Coturnix japonica: one gene and its partners. The protein of the gene in region 3 interacts with the protein of the main gene of each other region in a biochemical or structural test. Links are inferred from orthologs where the notes say so. Each region holds a gene or a part of one and is shown on either strand. Other genes may lie near its edges. The genes, in order: RANBP3, ADAR, XPO1, ABL1 and RANBP1.

Evidence for each region.
Region 1: the proteins of XPO1 (region 3) and RANBP3 form a complex in vitro, tested with the Homo sapiens proteins (2 studies listed by BioGRID). The link is inferred for Coturnix japonica from reciprocal best matches to the Homo sapiens genes XPO1 and RANBP3.
Region 2: the proteins of XPO1 (region 3) and ADAR form a complex in vitro, tested with the Homo sapiens proteins (2 studies listed by BioGRID, with this or other methods). The link is inferred for Coturnix japonica from reciprocal best matches to the Homo sapiens genes XPO1 and ADAR.
Region 4: the proteins of XPO1 (region 3) and ABL1 interact in a test that uses a peptide from one of them, tested with the Homo sapiens proteins (2 studies listed by BioGRID). The link is inferred for Coturnix japonica from reciprocal best matches to the Homo sapiens genes XPO1 and ABL1.
Region 5: the proteins of XPO1 (region 3) and RANBP1 form a complex in vitro, tested with the Homo sapiens proteins (3 studies listed by BioGRID, with this or other methods). The link is inferred for Coturnix japonica from reciprocal best matches to the Homo sapiens genes XPO1 and RANBP1.

The regions. Positions count from the first base shown.
Region 1 is NC_029543.1:271,894-276,180, reverse strand, and holds the start of RANBP3 (ran-binding protein 3), read right to left. Parts: upstream 2,811-4,287; 5' UTR 2,700-2,810; coding exon 2,678-2,699; intron 1-2,677. UniProt on the Homo sapiens protein: Acts as a cofactor for XPO1/CRM1-mediated nuclear export, perhaps as export complex scaffolding protein. Bound to XPO1/CRM1, stabilizes the XPO1/CRM1-cargo interaction. In the absence of Ran-bound GTP prevents binding of XPO1/CRM1 to the nuclear pore complex.
Region 2 is NC_029540.1:1,491,370-1,495,641, reverse strand, and holds the start of ADAR (double-stranded RNA-specific adenosine deaminase), read right to left. Parts: upstream 2,811-4,272; 5' UTR 2,661-2,810; coding exon 2,531-2,660; intron 2,280-2,530; coding exon 2,089-2,279; intron 424-2,088; coding exon 1-423. UniProt on the Homo sapiens protein: Catalyzes the hydrolytic deamination of adenosine to inosine in double-stranded RNA (dsRNA) referred to as A-to-I RNA editing.
Region 3 is NC_029518.1:5,211,707-5,215,216, reverse strand, and holds part of XPO1 (exportin-1), read right to left. Parts: intron 2,612-3,510; coding exon 2,430-2,611; intron 1,621-2,429; coding exon 1,464-1,620; intron 1,363-1,463; coding exon 1,199-1,362; exon of another isoform or gene 709-1,198; intron 417-708; coding exon 282-416; intron 1-281. UniProt on the Homo sapiens protein: Mediates the nuclear export of cellular proteins (cargos) bearing a leucine-rich nuclear export signal (NES) and of RNAs.
Region 4 is NC_029532.1:4,567,055-4,571,126, reverse strand, and holds the start of ABL1 (tyrosine-protein kinase ABL1), read right to left. Parts: upstream 2,804-4,072; coding exon 2,668-2,803; intron 1-2,667. UniProt on the Homo sapiens protein: Non-receptor tyrosine-protein kinase that plays a role in many key processes linked to cell growth and survival such as cytoskeleton remodeling in response to extracellular stimuli, cell motility and adhesion, receptor endocytosis, autophagy, DNA damage response and apoptosis.
Region 5 is NC_029530.1:1,023,457-1,027,566, reverse strand, and holds the start of RANBP1 (ran-specific GTPase-activating protein), read right to left. Parts: upstream 2,804-4,110; 5' UTR 2,696-2,803; coding exon 2,681-2,695; intron 1,273-2,680; coding exon 1,136-1,272; intron 547-1,135; coding exon 389-546; intron 1-388. Other genes in the region: TRMT2A (tRNA (uracil-5-)-methyltransferase homolog A), read left to right, coding at 3,191-3,663. UniProt on the Homo sapiens protein: Plays a role in RAN-dependent nucleocytoplasmic transport. Alleviates the TNPO1-dependent inhibition of RAN GTPase activity and mediates the dissociation of RAN from proteins involved in transport into the nucleus.

The DNA of each region.
Region 1 (4,287 bases), on a different chromosome or scaffold from region 3:
ATGTACAGCAAAACAGAGCTATCAGCCACTTCACTGTTAACATCCAAACATGCCTTATGTACTACCACACATACAGATACAGCATCACCTTACTTCACAGGCCTTGGAAACCAAATCAGGGCCTCAATTGCTCAGAGGTATCACATCTTCAATCATGTATTCTATTAAGTGAGATTTTTATTTCTTTCACTCTGATGTGTGACTACATTCAGCTGTTTCTGAGGCTACAAGGTCAGCCACGTTCCCTCCAAGCAGACAAAACATGACCTCATTTTACCCCTGTGACAGCTGACATCCACACAGCCACAGGGGCTGGGCATGGTTTCTGAAATAAAGATTTAAGCCTTCAGTGCAGCACAAAGTGCCCCATGACTGAAAAGCCCAACGGAGATTCCGAGTGCACATATATCAGAAACGTGTCCCTTTATGAACCCATTATGGAAGGCACCTACAGCGCTGCAAATATTTCCTTATGGAGCTCAATTCCCTCAGCTCAGCTGGTGGGAGCAGGATGAGCACCAAAATAATGTAAAGCCAACGCACAAATGAACAGCAAAACCAGCTGATAATCACCTGAAAAACAGCACAAGGGGGGAAAAAGGCCGGGGGGATCCCTACAGAATGGGCTATGAGGAAGCAGCAACATGCATCCTTGTTAAGGCTTGATGTAAGATCAGCACACTATAGATAGAAGGAAAAAAATGGCTATGTAGATGTTTCAGAAGGTTTTCTTTACCCTTCCATCAGATTTGGGCAAAAAGGAGAATTCAAAACATCTGGAAAATAAAATCAATGGGAAAAAAAAAGAAGGATGTTAGTTGTAAACAGAATGAAGTGCTGGTTCTATGGACAATAATCATCTTCTCAGCAACCCCACTTCCTCACCACACAGTCTGCTCTTCCTGCCTGCTCTGGTACCACTCAAATCAACTATGAAATAGCAGCTGAATTATATACGTATAGAAGCCCATATGGCATCAGGCCTGGAAAATAACTGCAGGTGTTCCCTTTATACTGCAGTATGGCAGAGAAAAGTGGTGGAACCCAAATCTGCGTCAGCTGAAGAATATTTGATGGCAACAGCTTACAAAGGAAAAGAATGCAGGTAAGCAGATAATATCTGATTTGAGAACACAACCACACACACAGACTGCTCCAAGTTAACCAAGGCAGAACAATTGGGCCTGAAGGACAAGCTAAAGAAGAGACCTGGGCATTTGTGTTTTATAGAACTCCAAAGGGACAGGTAACAAAACCAGACTCTTCCAATAGCTATGAATAGACTGAAAGCAAGAAGAAAGCTACGAAGCCAACAGCTGATCACTGAAAAAGACCCCACAAGCAAAGTCCGATCATACTTAATGACACTGGATCATTCATACCCGGAGCTCACCAATGAAGTCATGGTGAATATAAATTACAACAGGATGGTGGGGGAAAAGGGGAGAAAAAATATATTTGTAGATACTGCTGCCTCACTTTGAGGACTCTGCTTTCAAGACATAGAGCATGTGACACAATCTGGTTTATCTTCAAACCCTTTTTGTCTCTGATCATATGAACAGGCAACTTCTACAAAGCGCTGCCACAGCCGCTATGGGCACATGGTGCCTTTTACATACCCAGGAGTAATTAGAAAATTTCATACCATTTTTAAAGCACAAACCTCTTGTGTTGGCAGAGAAGGTGTTATTTCATCTCCCAAGCCCTGGTGCCATCAGCAGGTTTCCCTCTGCTTTAGGTAGCACTGACAGCATCCCTTCAATTTGGGAGCCAACAGCCCCACGTGTGCTGCATCATAAGATCCACCCAATGCTTTTGGTGTAACACTGTGGTCAGCTGCAGGTGGGATCCTGCCCAAAAGACACTTCCTTCTGTCTAACGTTAACATCAGGGCTGTAAACACCACTGGCAGAAATCCTGAGCATCAGGAATAGCACCGAATGGAAGCACTGTCCGTTCTGGCTCCTAAACTGCGTTCAGCTCCTCCCGTTCGGATGAGGATGGAGCTGCACCCACCGCACTGGGAGAACGGCTGCAGGCTGCTGCGGGCCGAGCTGGGCCCAGCGGGGGCTGCCCGACCTGCTGCTGCCCGCTGCCATTTAAGCAGCGCCCGCAGCCCTCGGGGCCGAACCCCCCCGTGCTGCACCCACAGCCCCACAGCGCTCTGGAATCTCCGCAGCAATTTAGTCCCAACGTTTCTAAGCCAAGAAACGCCTGTTCCGCCTCGTCCGGCCGCACGCAGCCCCCAGGGCTCCCAGCATCAAAGGGAGCGGCAGCGGTAACAGCAAGGACCCGCTCGGAGCAGCCCCGGGACCGCGGGGACAGCGCAGGCCGGGCGGTAACGGAGCGGGCCGCCATGGAGCCGGCGGGCCCGGCCCGGCTGGAGGCCCCGCGGGGAGCAGAGCGCGGAGCACAGCGGGCAGCGCAGCGCGTCCCGGCGGCGCCGCCTTTGTCCGCCCGCTCCCCGGGGCGCCGTGAGGCCGCACGGAGTCGTTGCGCTGAGCGCGGCCCGGAGCGGAGCGCGGGACCCGACCGGGCGGGACGCGGAGCGAGGCTGGAGCTGGAGCCGGGCCCGTCCCGGCAGCGCCTCGCACAGCAGCGGCCGCCCGCCCCGATCCCAGCCGCGATCCTTATCACTATCCCTGTCCTGATCCTTATCCCTGCCCGTACCCACCTTCGTTGGCCAGGTCCGCCATTTTACTTCCTCAATCACTCCCGAGATGCATCGCGCGGCCGGACGGCTCCACTACCGGCCAATTTACGGCCGCTCTGCGCATGCGTGAACGGCCGGGCGGGCGGGGCGGAGGGCGCTCAATAATGGCGGATGTGTCCGCGCATGCGCGAGGCGGGCCGGGTGTGGCACGTGGTTCCGTTTTGGGGCGGTCGCGCCGGTTGGAGGCGCTGCGGTTCTGTCAGCAGGAGCTTGAATTGCGGCCCGCCGCGCTTTCCGTGCTCCAACCAACGTGTCTCCGTACAGTGCGTGATGCTGCCACCCCAGGCTCTGCACACAGGGCTGCAGCCGTGCGCTCTGCGGGCACAGCTGCCCCCGGGGGTGGTGGCACGGCACGCTGTGATTCTCAAGGACCTACGCTTACGTACCCTACGCACTTTACGTACCCTACGCACTTTACGTACCCTACGCACTTTACGTACCCTACACACTTTACGTACTCTACGCACTTTACGTACCCTACGTACTTTACGTACCCTACGCACTTTACGTACCCTACGTACTTTACGTATCCTACGTACTTTACGTACCCTACGCACTTTACGTACCCTACGCACTTTACGTAGGGAAGTCCTGGAGCTCGCCGTGCATGGGTGGGATGGTGGTTCCCATGTTGGGAGCAGCAGTTCCTAATAGTCCCTAATACCAGCAGTCCTACCAGCAGGGCGTTAGTAGCTCCAGCTGTAGAAGCAGCTCTGTTTCCAGCTCCCTCAGCCTGCAAAGTGCCATGACCGACATTGTCACCTATAGAAGTGACGAGGGGCCTCTTCTGGGTATTGAGCAATAACAGCTGGATATTGAACAGCTCGGCAAGGTCTGATGGTGATTTTCACGTCCCCGAGCAGCTCACAGGTGTCAGTGCTGGAAGCTGCGATGTCCAAACACACACGGTGCCCAGAGCGTGATGTGTTTCTTTACACACAACCTGCAGAGCGTGGAGCTGAGCACGTTCTCGTGTCTCATCACACAAGAACCGTCATTTGCACAGATTCACAATGTGGCTGAATTTGCTCCAGTTTGTGTGGAATTAAAGCCTGTCCCAAAGCGGACATGTCCTACAAACTGAGGCAAACACTACTGAATTGGTGTGAGTATAATTACCCGTTATGTGAGTATCTAAAAAACAGTAATTACATTTTGAACTTAAGCACGTATTCTGGTACGTTTCTCCATCGCAGAACATTGTGCTTCACAGCCTGGAAGCTGGTGGAACCTGTGAGAGATGGCAGCTCTTATCATGGAAGAGTTGGGCAGCTTTAATTGTGGGCACTGCTGTGCTGTGCTTCCCTAATGAACGCACGGCACTGACAGTGCGTGGTGTGACCTAGTTCAGGGTTGTGAGTTAGCAGGAATTTACCTCCCAAAGTTACACTCTCTAGACCTTAAGAACCAGCAGGTCACAGTGTGTTCCTTATCCGTGTTCTAATTAGAGCTCGTGCTTCTCTGGTATCATTAACACAAGAGAGGAAAATTGACAGTTTAATGCTCTCAGAGTTTGGAGGCCGGATTCTGGTTTAATTTACCTATAAATCAGTCTATAACAATATCAGAGT
Region 2 (4,272 bases), on a different chromosome or scaffold from region 3:
GTCCTCCTGAGAGTAATAACGAGGAGGGGGACAACGTGGGGGTGTTTCTACCTGCTGCTGCTTGCTGGAGAACCTATGCCATCCTGCTTTACCACGGCCACCCTGCCCTCTCCCTGCAGGAGCAGCAGCCTGCCATCCCCCAGCACACAGCTTGCTGTACGACTGCGGCCTCTGAATTAAGCAGACATCACCATCCAGCTCTGCCAGGCGCCGAGAGGATTCCCAGTTTGTTATCTGCGACGAATGGGGGCGGTTAAAGAAAGCTGGGTGAGGGTTGGAGCAGTTATGCCTTGCTCGGGTGAGATGTGAGCCTTTGCCTTGAGCAGCGCCTCTGCTCATAGCGCTCTGCTTGAGCACACGTTGGCATCCAGGCTGCCTGCACACCAGGAGCAGCGATTCCTTCCAGTTCCCAGTGGATACCTGCTAGGAAGACACACAAAAAACAACCCAATGGGGGTTAAAAACCCAATGACACCATTATAAGCAGAGGTGCAGCCTAAACACCCCCCATGCTGCTGAGATAAGAGCCTCGCCAAGCCTTTCCACTGCCATTCAATTATTCATGTGAGCACAGCTGGCAAATTACACCTGCCCAGGTCAGAACCCAGCAGCCAGGAACACTGGGTGAGGTTAACAAGAAACCAGCTTCATATAAAGACAGATTGGCCGCTCTTGTTTGGGCTGAACATCAAGGTGGATGCAAAGACTGCTTGAGTTTGGGTTCAATCCCCTTCTGGCACCACTGGGACATGAGCAAGTTTCACTTCTGTGCCCGCAGGGAGGCAAGAAGCTCATGTCTGCTTTTGGAACCTGAAAGGCAGAGGGAGGCAGGGCAGCTCAATGTGGCACAGCTGGGAGAGCTTCATAGTCAGGGCTTAAGCCAGAAACCTATAAGACCTATAAAGACCTATGGATGTAAAGCATCACACTGCAGGAGTAAGGTGATAACCTACAGTGAAATCAGATCGGCAGCCGCTTTGTAATGCCACGAAGGTGTTTTGGGGATGGCAGCCTTGAGTTTCGCTCACACCTTCAGGGCTCTGAGCTTGTAAAGTGAAGCAGCCGCTCATAGGGTGTATCCCAGCCCTCCTACACATAGTAATGGATATCCCCTGCTAGCCTCCCCCCCAGGGACCCCCACATCACTCAGCATTGATAAACCCTTTACAAAGGAAGCTCTTTGACCTCCCCAAGCCCAAAAGCGATGTGTCAATAGGGAAAAGAAGGATGAAAAGAGGGGAAGGCTGCACGTGGAGCGCTCCTAAATGACCGGAGCACGCTCAGCTCTTTAACCACACCGACCACCAAAAGGGCTGACAATAGCAGGACACGGGGAAACGGTTTTAAGTTAAAAGAGGGAAGATTTAGGTTGGATGTCAGGGGGAAGTTCTTCACTAGGAGAGTGGTTAGGAACTGGAACAGGCTGCACAGGGAGGTTGTGGATGCCCCGTCCTTGGAGGTGTTCAAGGCCAGGTTGGACAGGGACCTGGACAACATGATCTATGGGGTCTCTATGGGGTCTATGGGGATCTATGGGGTCTCTATGGGGTCTCTGAGGGGATCTATGGGGTCTCTGAGGGGATCTATGGGGTCTCCTGGGCAACCTGATCTAGTAAAGGTGTATGTTTGGTGGCCCTGCCAGGCAGGGGGTTGGAACTACATGATCCTTGAGGTCCCTTCCAACCCGGGTCATCCTGTGATTCTATGGGGACTGTAGGGTTTATGGAGTCTCTATGGGGATCTATGGGGTCTCTATGGGGTGGATATGGGGTCTATGGGGGGTTGGAACTACACGATCCTTGAGGTCCCTTCCAACCCGGATCATTCTGTGATTCTATGGGGGCTGTGGGGTTTATGGAGTCTCTATGGGTCTCTATGGGGATCTATGGGGTCTCTATGGGGATCTATGGGGTCTCTATGGGGTCTCTATGGGGTCTCTATGGGGTGGATATGGGGTCTATGGGGGGTTGGAACTACACGATCCTTGAGGTCCCTTCCAACCCGGCTCATTCTGTGATTAACGCGGCTCTTTACGGTCCCGAATCAGCACCGACCGATCGTGTGTCGGCTCTTCCCGTTCCGCGTTACCTGCGCTCGGTCCGACAGCCCCAAACGGGGCTTTCTGTGCCTTCGGACGGCCAAAGCGAAGCTCCGGAGGCGGTACCGGGTCCGGTTAATGCCGTAAGATGGCTGCGGATCCTTTCGCTTTCGGTTCCGTCCCCGCAGCTGTTCTCCCCGCCCCACAATGAGGCGGGCAGCGCTGGGACACGGCGCCGTGCCTGGAACCGGACGGGGGGGGGTTAAAGGAATGAGGCCTTGATTGAGGCGGAGCATTGGACCCGGTTCGGGGTTACGGTCCCGGTACCGGTACTACCGTGCACATCTCCACCATAGATGGGAACTCTCTTTATTCTCTATGTTCTCACCCCCCTTCATCCCGTCCCGGTTCCCCATTTCCCCCTATAGGCTCCAGGCTCCTCCCGGTGCCCCGTTCCCACACCTTACCCCTCCCCCCCCCGTCCCCTCTTACCCCCTCCGCCGCCACCGGCGCCGCTGCGGGCGCGCAGTAATGACGTCATCAAACCGCGCCACGCGGCGTGGTGGCCGCCATCTTTCTTCAGGGCACGGAAAGACGGAGGGGTTCCGGTAGGACAACGCATGGCTGCGTGCCGGTGGAGGGGCTGCCGGCCTACCGGGGATATCGCTTCGATCCCGGATCTCCGGTTCGCTCCCCGAGTGTCTCCTGTTGTTGCGGACGTGGCCGCACTAGGCCTGACCTTGCGCGTAGGTGCTACCGCGCATGCGCTCTGTGATAGCAGTGACACGCATGCGCCTGAGCACCGTCGGACTGGCGCATGCGCAGTGAGCTCTGTCCATGTGCTCGGTGGGCGTCGGGTGTAATATATGGGGGGGGTCTTCATTCACCTTCATTCACCCATCTGCCTTCATGGCCTATATGGCTTCTACAGCTACTCCAGCCCTCGTTGTTCTTTGGACTCCCAACCCCCCACCTCCCCTATGTGCTCTCAAAGCCCCCCTAAGTTCCCCCCACACCCTATGGGGCTCACACCCCCTGCATTCATCCCAGCCCCACTTTGATGCCAAGGGGAAGCAGCCCCATAGGTCCCATCCCATAGTTCAGCTCCATCCCTTTAGGGCCACGTCCCCATGTCTTCAGGTCCCCATGGAGCCCCTATAAAGCACCCTCAGCCCCTGCCCACCCCCAGAGCTCCCCCAGCACCCACCCATCTCCCTACCCCATAGGACTGCACTGTCCCCTGTGTCCCCCCCTCCCCATTTTATCCCATTTCAATTCATCTCATGCAGCATGGAGCTGCCCCCTCCATCAGCTCCATCCCTTTAGGGCCATGTCCCCATGTCTTCAGGTCCCCATGTCTTCAAAAGTCCCTCATGGAGCCCCTATAAAGCACCCTCAGCCCCTGCCCACCCATCACCCACCCATCTCCCTGCCCTCCACCCCTCCATCTCTCACAGGGCCCCACTGCACCCCATAGGACTGCACTGTCCCCTGTGACCCCCCCCCCCTCCAATCCCATTTTACCCATTTCAATTCATCTTACACAGCATGGAGTTGCCCGCCCCCTCCCCAGCCAAGCTGCATCCCCACTCCCTGCATCATCTTCCAGCAGCACTACATTGTCCCCCACCCCCCCTCCCAGCGTGGATCCTGCTCCCCCCTTCTTCAACCCCCCCCCCCCTCCCATTACACCCATCACAGCTCCCCAGGCACGGAGCAGCCTGTTCCCGTCTGCTGCTCACTGGGTGCCATCTGCCAGCGAGACAGAGCCAGGAGCCCCACGTCGCACTGTGCGCCCACGGGGAGCCCCACGTCTCTATGTGAGCACCCACGGGAGCCCCCAGCCCCTCTGCTCCCCAAGGGGGTGGGTGTTGGGGGAGCTCCGGGTGGTGAGCAGGGGCTGAGGGTGCTTTATAGGGGCTCCATGGGGACCTGAAGACATGGGGACGTGGCCCTAAAGGGATGGAGCTGACGGAGGGGGCAGCTCCATGCTGCATGAGATGAATTGAAATGGGATAAACTGGGGATTGGGGGGGGGGGAGACACAAGGGACAGTGCAGTCCTATGGGGTGCAGTGGGGCGCTGTGAGAGATGGAGGGGTGGAGGGCAGGGAGATGGGTGGTTGATGGGTGGGCAGGGGCTGAGGGTGCTTTATAGGGGCTCCATGAGGACCTGAAGACATGGGGACCTGAAGACATGGGGACATGGCCCTAAAGGGATGGAGCTGACGGAGG
Region 3 (3,510 bases):
TGGTCACTTGCAAGAATTTATCTTACACACTGCTAAGGGATTTTCTGTGAAATTCTTTACACTGGATTTAAACCACTCTTAAGTCATTCAAGTCTTCTCTTTTCAAACAACACTTTTACTGTCACATCAACCATTGCTTTATATAAGTACACCCCAGCTAACTTCACCTAATTCCAGGAGTAAAAAGAACAACAAACCCCAAAACAAACAAACAAACAACACAGAAACAAACATTCAGCTGTTTTATTTTAATTGAATACACTTAAAATTTATGGCCTTACTTTTGTTGCCTGCTGAATTATGCTGTCCCATACTTGATTGGGGAGCAACATGTATTTTTCTATCAGATGCTCCTGTACAGTCTGGTCTGTTTGTGCCCCAATCATGTATCCTACTGCTTCATAGAACGTATGCACCTGATTGGAAAAACAAGTCAAACAGAAAGGTTAAGGAAGACTACCCAGAAGTTTACCATGTTCAAAACTAGCAGGTAGTAAAAGCTGAAAATGGGTTTCCAGTGAATAAACATGTACTTCCCACTTGAGTTTACAAGATCTTTCTCCACCTTTTCCTTACTTACACCACATTTAAGGTAAGCCTCCATTCCCTTCCAATGTTACTATCTCAGAGACCTCCTTCATTTTTACCTGAAGCAATTTCAGGCATATGCTTTCTCTTATGATACAGCTCCATTTATTTCTTTTACAGAACTTTGAGCTAAATCGAGTGCAGAAAATCAGAAGTCGGAACTTAATACCTCCTCAGCCCAAGGTTTCCAAGGTTTTCACTGCAATGCATCAGCTGTGCATGCACTACACTCTGTAAGAACACATTCTCCCTGCAGGTATGCTCTTGCCACTGGACACGCAAGACCCATAAGTATGCTATCACAGTAGAATACTCTTCTTTGCTAATCAAAACCTCAAAATCAGATTTACTATTATTTACTTGTAGAAGCATTCCAGAAAAAAGAATTTCAACTCGGCACACTTTAATTCTCTTTTCAAGAATTCTAATTAAGGCCTTAATAATGTAACACAATCATACCGTCTGTAACATAACATTCACTAACACACACACACACTCACACAATATGACTAAAAAATACAATGCAAATCTTAAAAGTCTACTATCAAGTTTCGTTATGTCACAACTTTTTACTCATCTTCACAAACTTACAGTCCTGAATTATATGTACCTGTTGTGGCTGAAGGTCACAGATGATTGTATTTATATTGTTCAAGATTTCATCAATGAAAGGCATTACTTCTCCCACTTGAACCTGAACAAAATGTCGGCGGCACTTTTGTGCTATTTTAATGAAGGTATCACAAGCCATATCCTGGACACCATCATGGGTTTCTAAATCAAATGAGATCAGTTACTGTTTTGAATTTTCCCCCAGACATGCACTTGTACTCGGCATCAAGAAAGTCAGAACAGCAAGTAGAAGAGATAGTTACCATGCATAAACTCAAATAGCTTGTTGACTACTGTCTTCAAAAACTTCCAGTGAGCTCTCAAGAAACGTGGGTATTGGCCTACTATGTACATAATATTTGATGCAATAATGGCTTTGTTGTCTTTTCCTCTCTTTTGTTCACAGAGTCCTAGGAGATCCTACAATGTAACATATTATTAGTCACCTCCCCAAGTTTGTAGGTTAGAAGAGCAGTATAAAGGCTAAATTAAGCTATCATAATGATGCGGTAGAGTAAATGCTATTATTAAACTCCAAGCCAAATTGATTTAAAAAATAAAAAACAAACAAGAAGAGTTAAAGATCAGGACAATTCTAAGTTTCAGCCAAATCTAGAACAACACCTTTTCAGCCATGTGTTTTAAATGTAATTAATGACGTATACAGGGCAGACTACAGCAACCCTCAGTGTTGACTACTGACCAATCAGTTGATACAGATAAACATACAGGTATTGCACAGCAAGTAGGGGAAACTAAATCCTCTCTGCAGTATTTTTATGATGTAACAGCAATGCTTAATTACTCCTGTAGATAACATTTTCTTCCTGTACTCTTTCCACACACACATTTACTAAACATGAAGTGAAGAGTGCTATTTGGTTAAAAACAATGCACGTTACTTTGCTTCATTAAGGCTACTCTTACTTCATTAGTGCTTTTTTTCCATATCTTCTGCATTCCTAAAGCAAAATACTTCATCATAAGCCAAACTTTCCTCTCCAGAATTTTCACAGTGAAAAGGCTATTTGAATTCAAGCATTTTTCATGACTGAGGAATTTATCGACCTAACATTCAGTATATGGTATTTCCCATCAAATTATTTTCATCAATATGTTTGCTGTACAAGACAGCTTACTGAAGAATGTAGAGCAGTGTCTTTTTAAGCTCAATTTCTTGAGCATAAACTATCAAGTATGACAAAGCTGTTAGTTTTGTAACACAATACCTTAATTACTGTAACAAGGAATCTTTTTTCATCTTCTTCATGCATTGCTCCACTGATTGAGCCTATAGCCCAACACAGTGTATTCAAATTTTTCCATGACCATTCTGTCCCATTCACTTGATTATGAAGTTTCTCTGTCATTATTCGTTCTGTGTCTGCATAATCCAGATGCGTAAGATACACTGAAAGAAAATTAACAGTAAAAGTAAGCAAGATTATTTTTAAGTTAATTTCTAAGACAAAATCAAAATGCTAAGTGTAATACTTCTCTTGTGAGCTTATGATAGAACAAGCTAAGAATTTAAACCCAGATCTGCTAGAGTTGTAAAGACAAGTATATTTTCTATCAGTCAGATCAGTAAAGCTACTAAGTTAAATAATTAATAAAATGCATACATACTCATGAGCCATAGGAAATATGACATAGGCTAGCTCTGAGGTTATTATGCTGCATTTAACAAGTCAGTCAATAATTCTCCTCTGTTCATTATTTCAGTGTCATTACATCTGTTGGATTTAATAACCCGCCATTAAAATGGAGATGGTACACCTGAACCTAGTCTAAGTGAAAAGATTCAGCTTTATCAGCTCAGACCATTCCATCAGCCCCTAAAAAAACTCTCTAACATAAGTAAAATAAATAATCCCACCAAGTCAAAAAGCAGCATAAAGGTCAGATTTAGCAATGGATTTTTACAGTGCCACTTTCACTGTACTCTTGCCTTTTTAAGAGGCGAATCTTCTATTATGACAGCACACTAAGCAATAACAAACACCAAAATTCAAACTAAAGACTGTCTGACACCTGTATCTGGAAACATTACTAAGGATGAGAATATACTGCAGTAATTTTAATACATTTAATATATAATTTAAAAATAAATATATATCAGAACAAATGCGTTAAGTATATTTACTTCAAAAGTACAGCAGTGAGAATAAAATAATGCTTGTGTTTTACATTCATGAAGTTGCTAATAAATACTCAGTGCTCCATTCCAGTGTTTTCATTTAACAGAAAAATGTTATTATTGAAGTCTAACAACCTGACCTTACATGTATGACAACCCTGCTTCAAATC
Region 4 (4,072 bases), on a different chromosome or scaffold from region 3:
CCACCTCGGCGCATGTAAAGCAGTTTAGCAAGTCTTAGGCCTCTCTCCTAACACATCCCAAGCCCAGATCAAGTTCTGCACAGGGGCTTCTTAGTGGAACTTGCCTGTGTTTGGTAATTGAACAGGAATTACAGTGTATGATAGAAGGGGATGCAGGCAGAAGCAGTACACAAATCTGCATTCCACGTGGAGCAATGTCAGCATTAACCAGATTAATACTGAATCACATCAAAGGATGGATACATAGCAATGATCTCAACAGCCGGGGATAATTCCCTCCGAACAGAAATGGAAATTAAAGCTTGGGTGCCAACAAATCTCTAAGCTAACAATGAAAAAAAGTTTGGTCAGTTTGAAATACCGACTCAGATACTGAAGGGAGGCTTCCAAAGGAGCTTCCATTAGGCTGATGTTAATGGTGCAGCTTCAAGGGGAAAGCCCAAAGCAGGAGCAGTAGAGCAGTCCCCTTCCTGTCCCAGGTCATTCACCCATAGGAACAATGCAAAGGTATGAGGGCAAGGCCTGGAACCACCTGCATGCTAAAGAACAGAGATCTAGCACAGAAGGAATCCCATTTAAACAACCTCCATGTACAGGCAATTAGCTACCTAATGAATTTATACTGCGTATGAATCAGACGCATTGTGCTCACTCATAAGATAAAGGGTAATAAATACCAAGTCGTATTACTGCTTGATCACAGCAGGTCCTCCTGGCTGGCAAAACTATGTTCCAAAGTCTTCAAGCTACTGATAACAGCTCATATACATGGGTTGGTCATTGAATCCATAGGAAGGAACCACAGCTTTTCATTTGTTTTCACAATCAAAACAGTTGAAACGTAATATTTAACAGCGTCAAAGAAATAAACTTCAATCTGAAGTCTCTTCTAAGAGATTTCTTAAGGCACAATACAGACCCAATAGGAAGTTCCTCTTTGTATATCTGGATATGAAGTTTGTACAAGCTCTGACATGTTCTGCAATGCAATACGAACAATTTTTCACATTGAATTTCACATTGAAACCACCAAACCAAGGTTCTGAGCCGCTCTACCAAAAGCCACTTCCACAACAGGAAAGCTACACTATGAAATACTGTTCTGTCCATTAAATATAGATGGTCAGAAGGTCGGTGTGTCAGACTGTACAGGCATTTCAAAACCAAAATTCAGCTATTAAACAAAACAAAAAATCAAGGAAGAATAACCTACCTTTGTAGGTACTTTAGAGTACCAGGCTAGAAGGAGGCCCAGAGACAGACAACACAGAACCCATGGTGCAGCCTTCTCCTGCCTGTGTGATGAAGAACCATTTCACATACACAAAGGAGGAAACTCTTCCTCGTGCTGCTAAGCGAGACTGATCTTTTGCAGCTCTCCTAACAGCTGTACTGACCTCCATGTCCCCTTTCAAGTTGATTTCTAAATCAACCAAGGTCTCTCATAGACATATGGTACGTGGACACTGGAGATGCTATCTCTCTTCACAAATGTGCTGGGATTTTCTGACCTCAGGTCACAGCAGCAAAAAGGTACCATCTGCCTAGTCCTGTCAGATGATCAAAAAGCAGCATTTCTGGCTCTTTTGCTACATCAAAGCACCAAAGGCTGTGAGAATATCGTACCGCTTGCACTTTGTGCTCACGGTATCTCCCCTGACCTTGAAACACCGTCCAATGCAGTACAAGCAGTGACCAAACTGAGGCCAGAGGAGAAGTATATCACAGAGCTAAGAAAAACTATAGGTCAAAACTATTGAAGAAACCTTATGAAGATCCCATTTCTCCAGCCTGAGGCAGCAGCCTGGTGTATGTCCCTTCAAGGAACACCATAAAGTGCCACGCAAAACCAAGCATTATTCCATAAAGGGTCACTGAAACGACACGTTTCTGCCTGTGCCTTTTGAAAGAGATGCCTTCAGTTGGAAATCTCATTAAAAAAGAAAAAGAAAAGGCATTTAAAAGCTCTGTGGAACTCCAAATAACTTCAATTTGCTGTATTTCCTGAGATTCTCTGCCTCCTTTTAATCTGGAGCAGAGAGCTGAGCGGGTTGCTGTACCCCTCACCCGGCTGCTTGTAGCCTCCCACACTTACCCCCGTTCCAGCACAAGTTGCATGTTTAACTGGCCATGAGAAACCACAAACCAACAGTGCTGTAAGCACACCAAGCAAATGAACAAGAAACTGCTTCGTTCCAACCAGTTATTACAACAGCAGCACCCAGCAACTTCCCAAAAGCAGCCCAGATTTGTTTCCAAGCAGCTGAGCCCCCTTTTGTAGAGATAATTAAGAACACTCATCACTCACAAGAGCATTGCCCTCAGCTGGCTTTGGTCTGCACCTATAACAAACAACTCAAAGAGGATCAAGCACTTCTCTAGGCCTTAAACCACAACACATCCAAGGCAGAAATGCGAAGTTTATATGATGTTAAAGAGTTATTTCCTTGTATTTCAGATTTAGTTGTGCCATGACCTCTCATAATCCAACATAAGTGAAGTATCAACAAAAACAACAGTGTTACCTTAAGAGGCAAGGGAAAGAAAACAGCTTCCAAGAAGCACAGCATGTTTGCATCTTACACTACGCTCTCTAGGAGACCCACATCACATCCAACTCAGCAAATCAAAATCAAACCAAAAGTGAAACCAACTGAAATCTCTCACCGTGTTCCACAAAGACATTGCAGTGAGGGCCCCCATGCCTCGATGACTCCTTCTTCCCTGCTCCCTTGATGAAGTGCAGGGCAGGCAGACTCGGCCTCCTTTGGTCCCCAAGAACTTTTCCAGGCTGCTGCCCCATAAAGCAACTCTGGGCAGCCTCTCCCGGGACAAGAAGCTTCTGCAGAAGTCTGTGATTCCTTATTTTCCAGGCTGAAGGAGAACCTTTATGTCGGATGATGTCCAGATCCCCTTCCAGCCCCTACAGTTCGGTGCTCCCGTGCCAGGTGGGTGCAGTCAATGGAGCAGAGCACCAGATGATTCTGCAGACAGCAGCACGGCGTTATGAACAACACATAAATGAGTTAAAAGTTCCAATCACACGTTAATGAGCGACGCTGTAAGTTTCACCTCCCCGGACGTGGTATGTCTTCCACCAAGGAGAACCCGTCCACCTCACAGACACGAAACCACGTTCAGGCTCACCGTGGTCAGGAAACACTCATTCCTACCACAACCAGCGTCAAGGCTTCTTCTTCTTCTTCTTTTTCTTCTTCTTTTTCCTCTTTCTCCTTTTCTTTTGCATAGCATTGGGTTAGCGAAGTCCAAAGCACCTCACGTCTGGCTTCACGTCCTGCCGGAGCCTCCCAGCACCACCACCATCCCGGCAGCTCCCGGTGGTGACCCGATGCCCGCCCGCAGCTCGCCGTGCCCTCGGCCCTTCCTTCTGCTACCTCTCCCGGGGCCGGGCCGGGCCCGAGCAGGCAGGTGGGCCGCGGGGGGCCATGGCGGCGTCGAACAGCGCTGGGCCCGAGCAGGTGGCGGCCGCCTCACAAGGGCCCGGTGGCCGCCGGGCGAGAGGCGCGAGGCCGTCCGTGGAGATGGAGCCCGCAGCGCGTCCGCAGGAGGTGGGGATGGGAAGGACAGGCCGGCATCCCCGCGGGCAGGGCAAGGCAGGGCGGAGGAAGGGGGACAAAGGGCCGAGGGGGGCGGCGGAGCGATCGGGGAGATCCCGGAACCCGCGGCGCAGCCCCGTCCCCGGCCGGCGGGGCGGGCGGGCAAACCCCTTCCGGCCACTCCTCCTCCGCCACCGCCTCCTCCTCCTTCTCCTTCCCGGCCCCGGCTGCGGGAAAGCGGCGGTGAGGAGAATCCGACAGCCCTCACCTCACAGGGGCAGCCCTTACCTCATAGGGGCAGCCCTCATCCCCACACAAAGGCCTTGCGTTCCCTACGGTGCTGTGAGCTCACAGCTTGACACCGACCCCATCCACAGAGGCAAAAACGAAGTTAAACCCCCACATCACTCACACTGCCCGTGAGGTAGGTGTTCCCTGCCCTGTGGAGCAGGAAGATGATGGTTTTTATATGTTCTTTAGTTCACCTTGAGAACTGAAACTAACTGAGGCAACAG
Region 5 (4,110 bases), on a different chromosome or scaffold from region 3:
CATTAAAGAACAAAGCACTGGGATCAATGACACTGTGTTTGTCCATCCCAGTTACATTTCAAAGTGTCTTCAAACATCAGCACTCTTTGAAACAAAGAACTTCCAGATTCAGTGCTGCAGGTTATCATCAAAACTACAGCCTCCTTCCATCCATAAAGATGAGAACTCATGTTTTGATACATGGCTTTTGTGGACAGAGCAAGAAATGACAGCATTTATAGTCTCCTGTAAGTTGGACACTTGCTTTAAGAGGCAGCATCTCTCTACCTACACTGCTAAAAGCCACCGGGCTCTTGAGTTTCAATGTATAAAGCTCCATCAAGCTTACTTAAAAAACAAACCACACACACACACAAAACAGTAGCAAGTATAGTAACACATAACATACTGTAATGGTTTGCGCAGATTTTTAGAGTTTTATCCCTCCTCATGAGGAGGCGAATTGTTCCCTTCTCCTTGTGCTTTAGGAGTTTTACATCACCAGTTCCTCGTTCTTTCCATTCTGGAAGCTCATTCTCAGATGCAAATCGGAACAGCTTTGCTCGCCTTAAAGAAGGAAGAACGTGAGAAGTTAGCCTGTATGTAACAGCTTACTGAAACAACACATCCACCTGTATGGTACAGCAGATGTTTTTAAGCCACGCAAGAAAGAGAAAATGTTTTGAAAGAACCTTGGGTGGTTCTGTGAAGTGCCAGGAGTTGGACTCCATGAGCCCTGTGTGTCCCCGCCAGCTTGGGCTACTCCGTGTGATTCCAAATAGATCTTTGTCTGGAATGTGCCTAGATCCTATGCTGGTCTTCCATACCTTTTGCACTATAAGTTTTAGACCAGTATCACATACCTTCAAAACTTTATTTATTATCCAAGTTAATGTTTTCTTTTGGGATAAAAGAGTCAATACTAAAACCAGATTCATGACACCATCTCCTTCATGCTATTCCAGACCTTCATCAGTTCCTTGGGGACAGTGCTGTCAGACCTCCCCAACTCAACCTCTGCCATTAAAGTAAATAGCAGTGAACTTACACTGCCACTTCATACAGAGATTCCTAACAAGTCATCCAACTTTCTCGTAACACATTAAAGCTTGAGTACAATAAGCAGCCAGATAATGCGTACAAGTGTTCTACTTACATCTTGAAGAGCTCTTCCTCATCCTCTTCCAGAGTCTTTATTTCCTGCTCTGGAAGGGAAACTATGGGCTCAAACTGAGGATCGTGGTTGGAATCATCTGCATTTTCAGTAGAGGTATCGTGCTCCTCATGTGCTTCCTGGACAGGGGAAAACAAAAAAGAAAGCTAAACATGCTGCACACTTACATTCACAACTACTCAGCAACTGGATCTCAGCAACTGAAATATGTGTTAAAATTAACCAATATTCACAGGTGAAAATTAATTGCTTTATGTCGATGTGCAGTTAGACTAAGAAAGAAGCAGCCTCATGCTGGTTTTGTTCTACTGTCCTGGCCTTTGGCTGCTGAAAAGTCATTTCCCCATCATTTTTCCAGTATATGCACTTAATGCTACTAACAACCTATTGTTAATGGGGGGGAAAAACATCACTAAAGAAACCACCTCCACCAGCCCAAGTCCATCCAGACAGGCAACAGAAGTTCATTGTTCTCATCCTACGTGTCAGAACTCCCCACAGCCGCAGAGATTTCTGAAGCACAGTCAAAACACTCGCGAAGTGACTGAAGTTTTTTTCCTCCAACACAACGCTCTTTGAGGAGCCTTGTTTTTCATTGAGGGTAAATGGCCAACATGAGGCTTCCTATGCAGTTGCTCGGGGTCTGCCCGCACAATTGCTGGGCTCAGGAAGTCTGCAGGGGCAGCTGGTGAGGAGGGCACGGCACCATGACTACATGGCACGGTACCACGACTACATGGCACGGTACCATGACTACAGGGCACACGGCTGTGCTGGTAGGGGCGCTCAGTGAGGAGCCTTCAAGGGAAGCGCTCCGCAAACTCAGCGAGGCCACAAACATGGATCTCGGGGGGACAGAACCGGTTCGTGCCTTTTTGTTGCCGCAGCCGGGACAACACAAAGGCGGATCACACACACACACACACACACGGGGCCTGCATTGCGCTCAGTGCGGAACGGAGACAAGACGGGAAAGAACGGGGCAAAAACTTTCGGTTATCGGCGATCGCTGCGGGGCACGAGCGGCCCCGGCGGATCGGAACGTTCAGATTGAACGGAGCCGCCATACAGCGTCGGGATATAACGAGATAACGACGAGATAACGAGAGATAACGAGATAACGAGAGGAGCGGAGCGGCCCCGCAGCCCCGCCCCCGGCACACCGGGCCCCGCCGCCACGTGCAGAGCGGGCAGGGCGGTATCGCGACAGGCGACACGTGGGGCCCTGCGGGAAGGAACGAGGAGTGAGCGGGAACGGCAACAACAGCCAGAAACGGCCCCGGGGAGCGGAACGGAGCGGAGAGGAACGGAACGGAATAGAGCGGAACGGAGCGGAGCGGCTCCTGCTGCTCCCCATGGCAGCGCTGCCCCAGCCGCCCTCGCGCAGCTCGGCCCACAACCGGGCCTGGGCCGCGGCCTCGGCCCCGCGCGGCCCCCACCCGCTTCCGTTACCGCCATCCCCCACCCCGGCCCGCTCCCCCGCCGCCTTCCCCCCCTTATTTCCCTCCCCCCGTTCCCATTCCCCACCTTATTATCCGCCATCCTCCCGTTCTCTCCCGCTGTCTCAGCTCTTCCTGCCGCGTTCCCGCCCCTCCCGCCTTTACCTCATTCCCGCAGCCCGCGCCGCCGCAAGGCACGATGGGAAACGGCCCCTGCCCTCCGCCCGCCCCGCCCCTGCTCTCCTCTCGCGGTGCTGGGCCGCGTGTGTCCGTGTCCGTTTGTCCGTGTGTCCGTGTGCTGCTGTGCCGTGTCGGTTCGGTTCCGTGTCGGTTCGGTGCCGCCCACAGCCCCGCCCGGCACCCGTACCCCCGGCCCTGCAGCCCCGCTCTCCTCCCCTCCTCTCTCCCCGTTCCCCCTCCCCCGGCCGTGCCGTCCCGTCCCAAGATGGCGGCCGTGCTGCTGCAGCGCTGAGCCCGCCGCTGTCTGTATTGTACCGGGTCGGATCGCACGGTTCGGTGCCGCTGTATTTGAACACCATCATCGCTGCTGATCGTTCCATCCCCGTCTCGCTCCGTGCCCGCTCCGCCCCATCCCGCCATGGACGCGGCCGAGGTTGGCCCCGACGTGTACGGGTACACCCGTGCGGAGCTGTTCACCTCCGAGATCTACAAAGTGGAGATCCAGAACCTGCCCAAGTACATCGGCTTCAACGACGTCAAGAAGTTCCTGGCCAAGTTCGGGCTGAGCCCGCACAAGATCAAGCTGCTGGGCAAACAGACGTTCGCCTTCGTGACGTTCAAGAGCCAGGAGGAGCGGGACGAGGCCGTGCGGGTCCTGCACGGCGCCGCGTGGAAGGGCCGGGCCCTCGGAGTACGGGCGGCCAAGCCCAAAGCCGACCCCATGGCGAGGAAACGGCGGCAGGAGGAGCGGGACGGGACCGGGACGGAGCCGGCAGAGCCCGTCAGCAAACGGATCGCGGACGTGGTGACCCCGCTGTGGGCACTGCCCTACGAGCAGCAGCTGGACGAGAAGCGCCGGGACTGCGAGCAGCTGCTGCAGAAGCTGGCAAAGTAATGGCACCAAGTAATGGCACCAAGTCATGGCACCAAGTCATGGCACCAAGTCATGGCACCAAGTCATGGCACCAAGTCATGGCACCAAGTAACGCCGCCCTCAGCCCGCAGTCGGGCACCTGAGGATGCCAGCACAAAAGGGCCTGTGCAGAGATGGCCCGGTGCCACCGGGATTCCCTTACAAATTATCCCCTCGGTTTTCAAGCTCAGTCTTTGTAGATCGAAGTATTTGTTCCATCATTTCCCTCAATCCCATAGATAAAGTCCCACCTGTGCGCTGGGTACGTTCTTAATCTGGTACATAGAGTTAAAGTTGTACAAAGTGTCATTTCCTGGGGCTGCAGGTCTGGTAACTTGAGAGATCTGTTCCCCTGTTAAAACGTGGGTTTCCTCCAGGAGAAGAGTTTTTCCTCTGGTAACTTGTTATGTCCATTGTGGGCCATG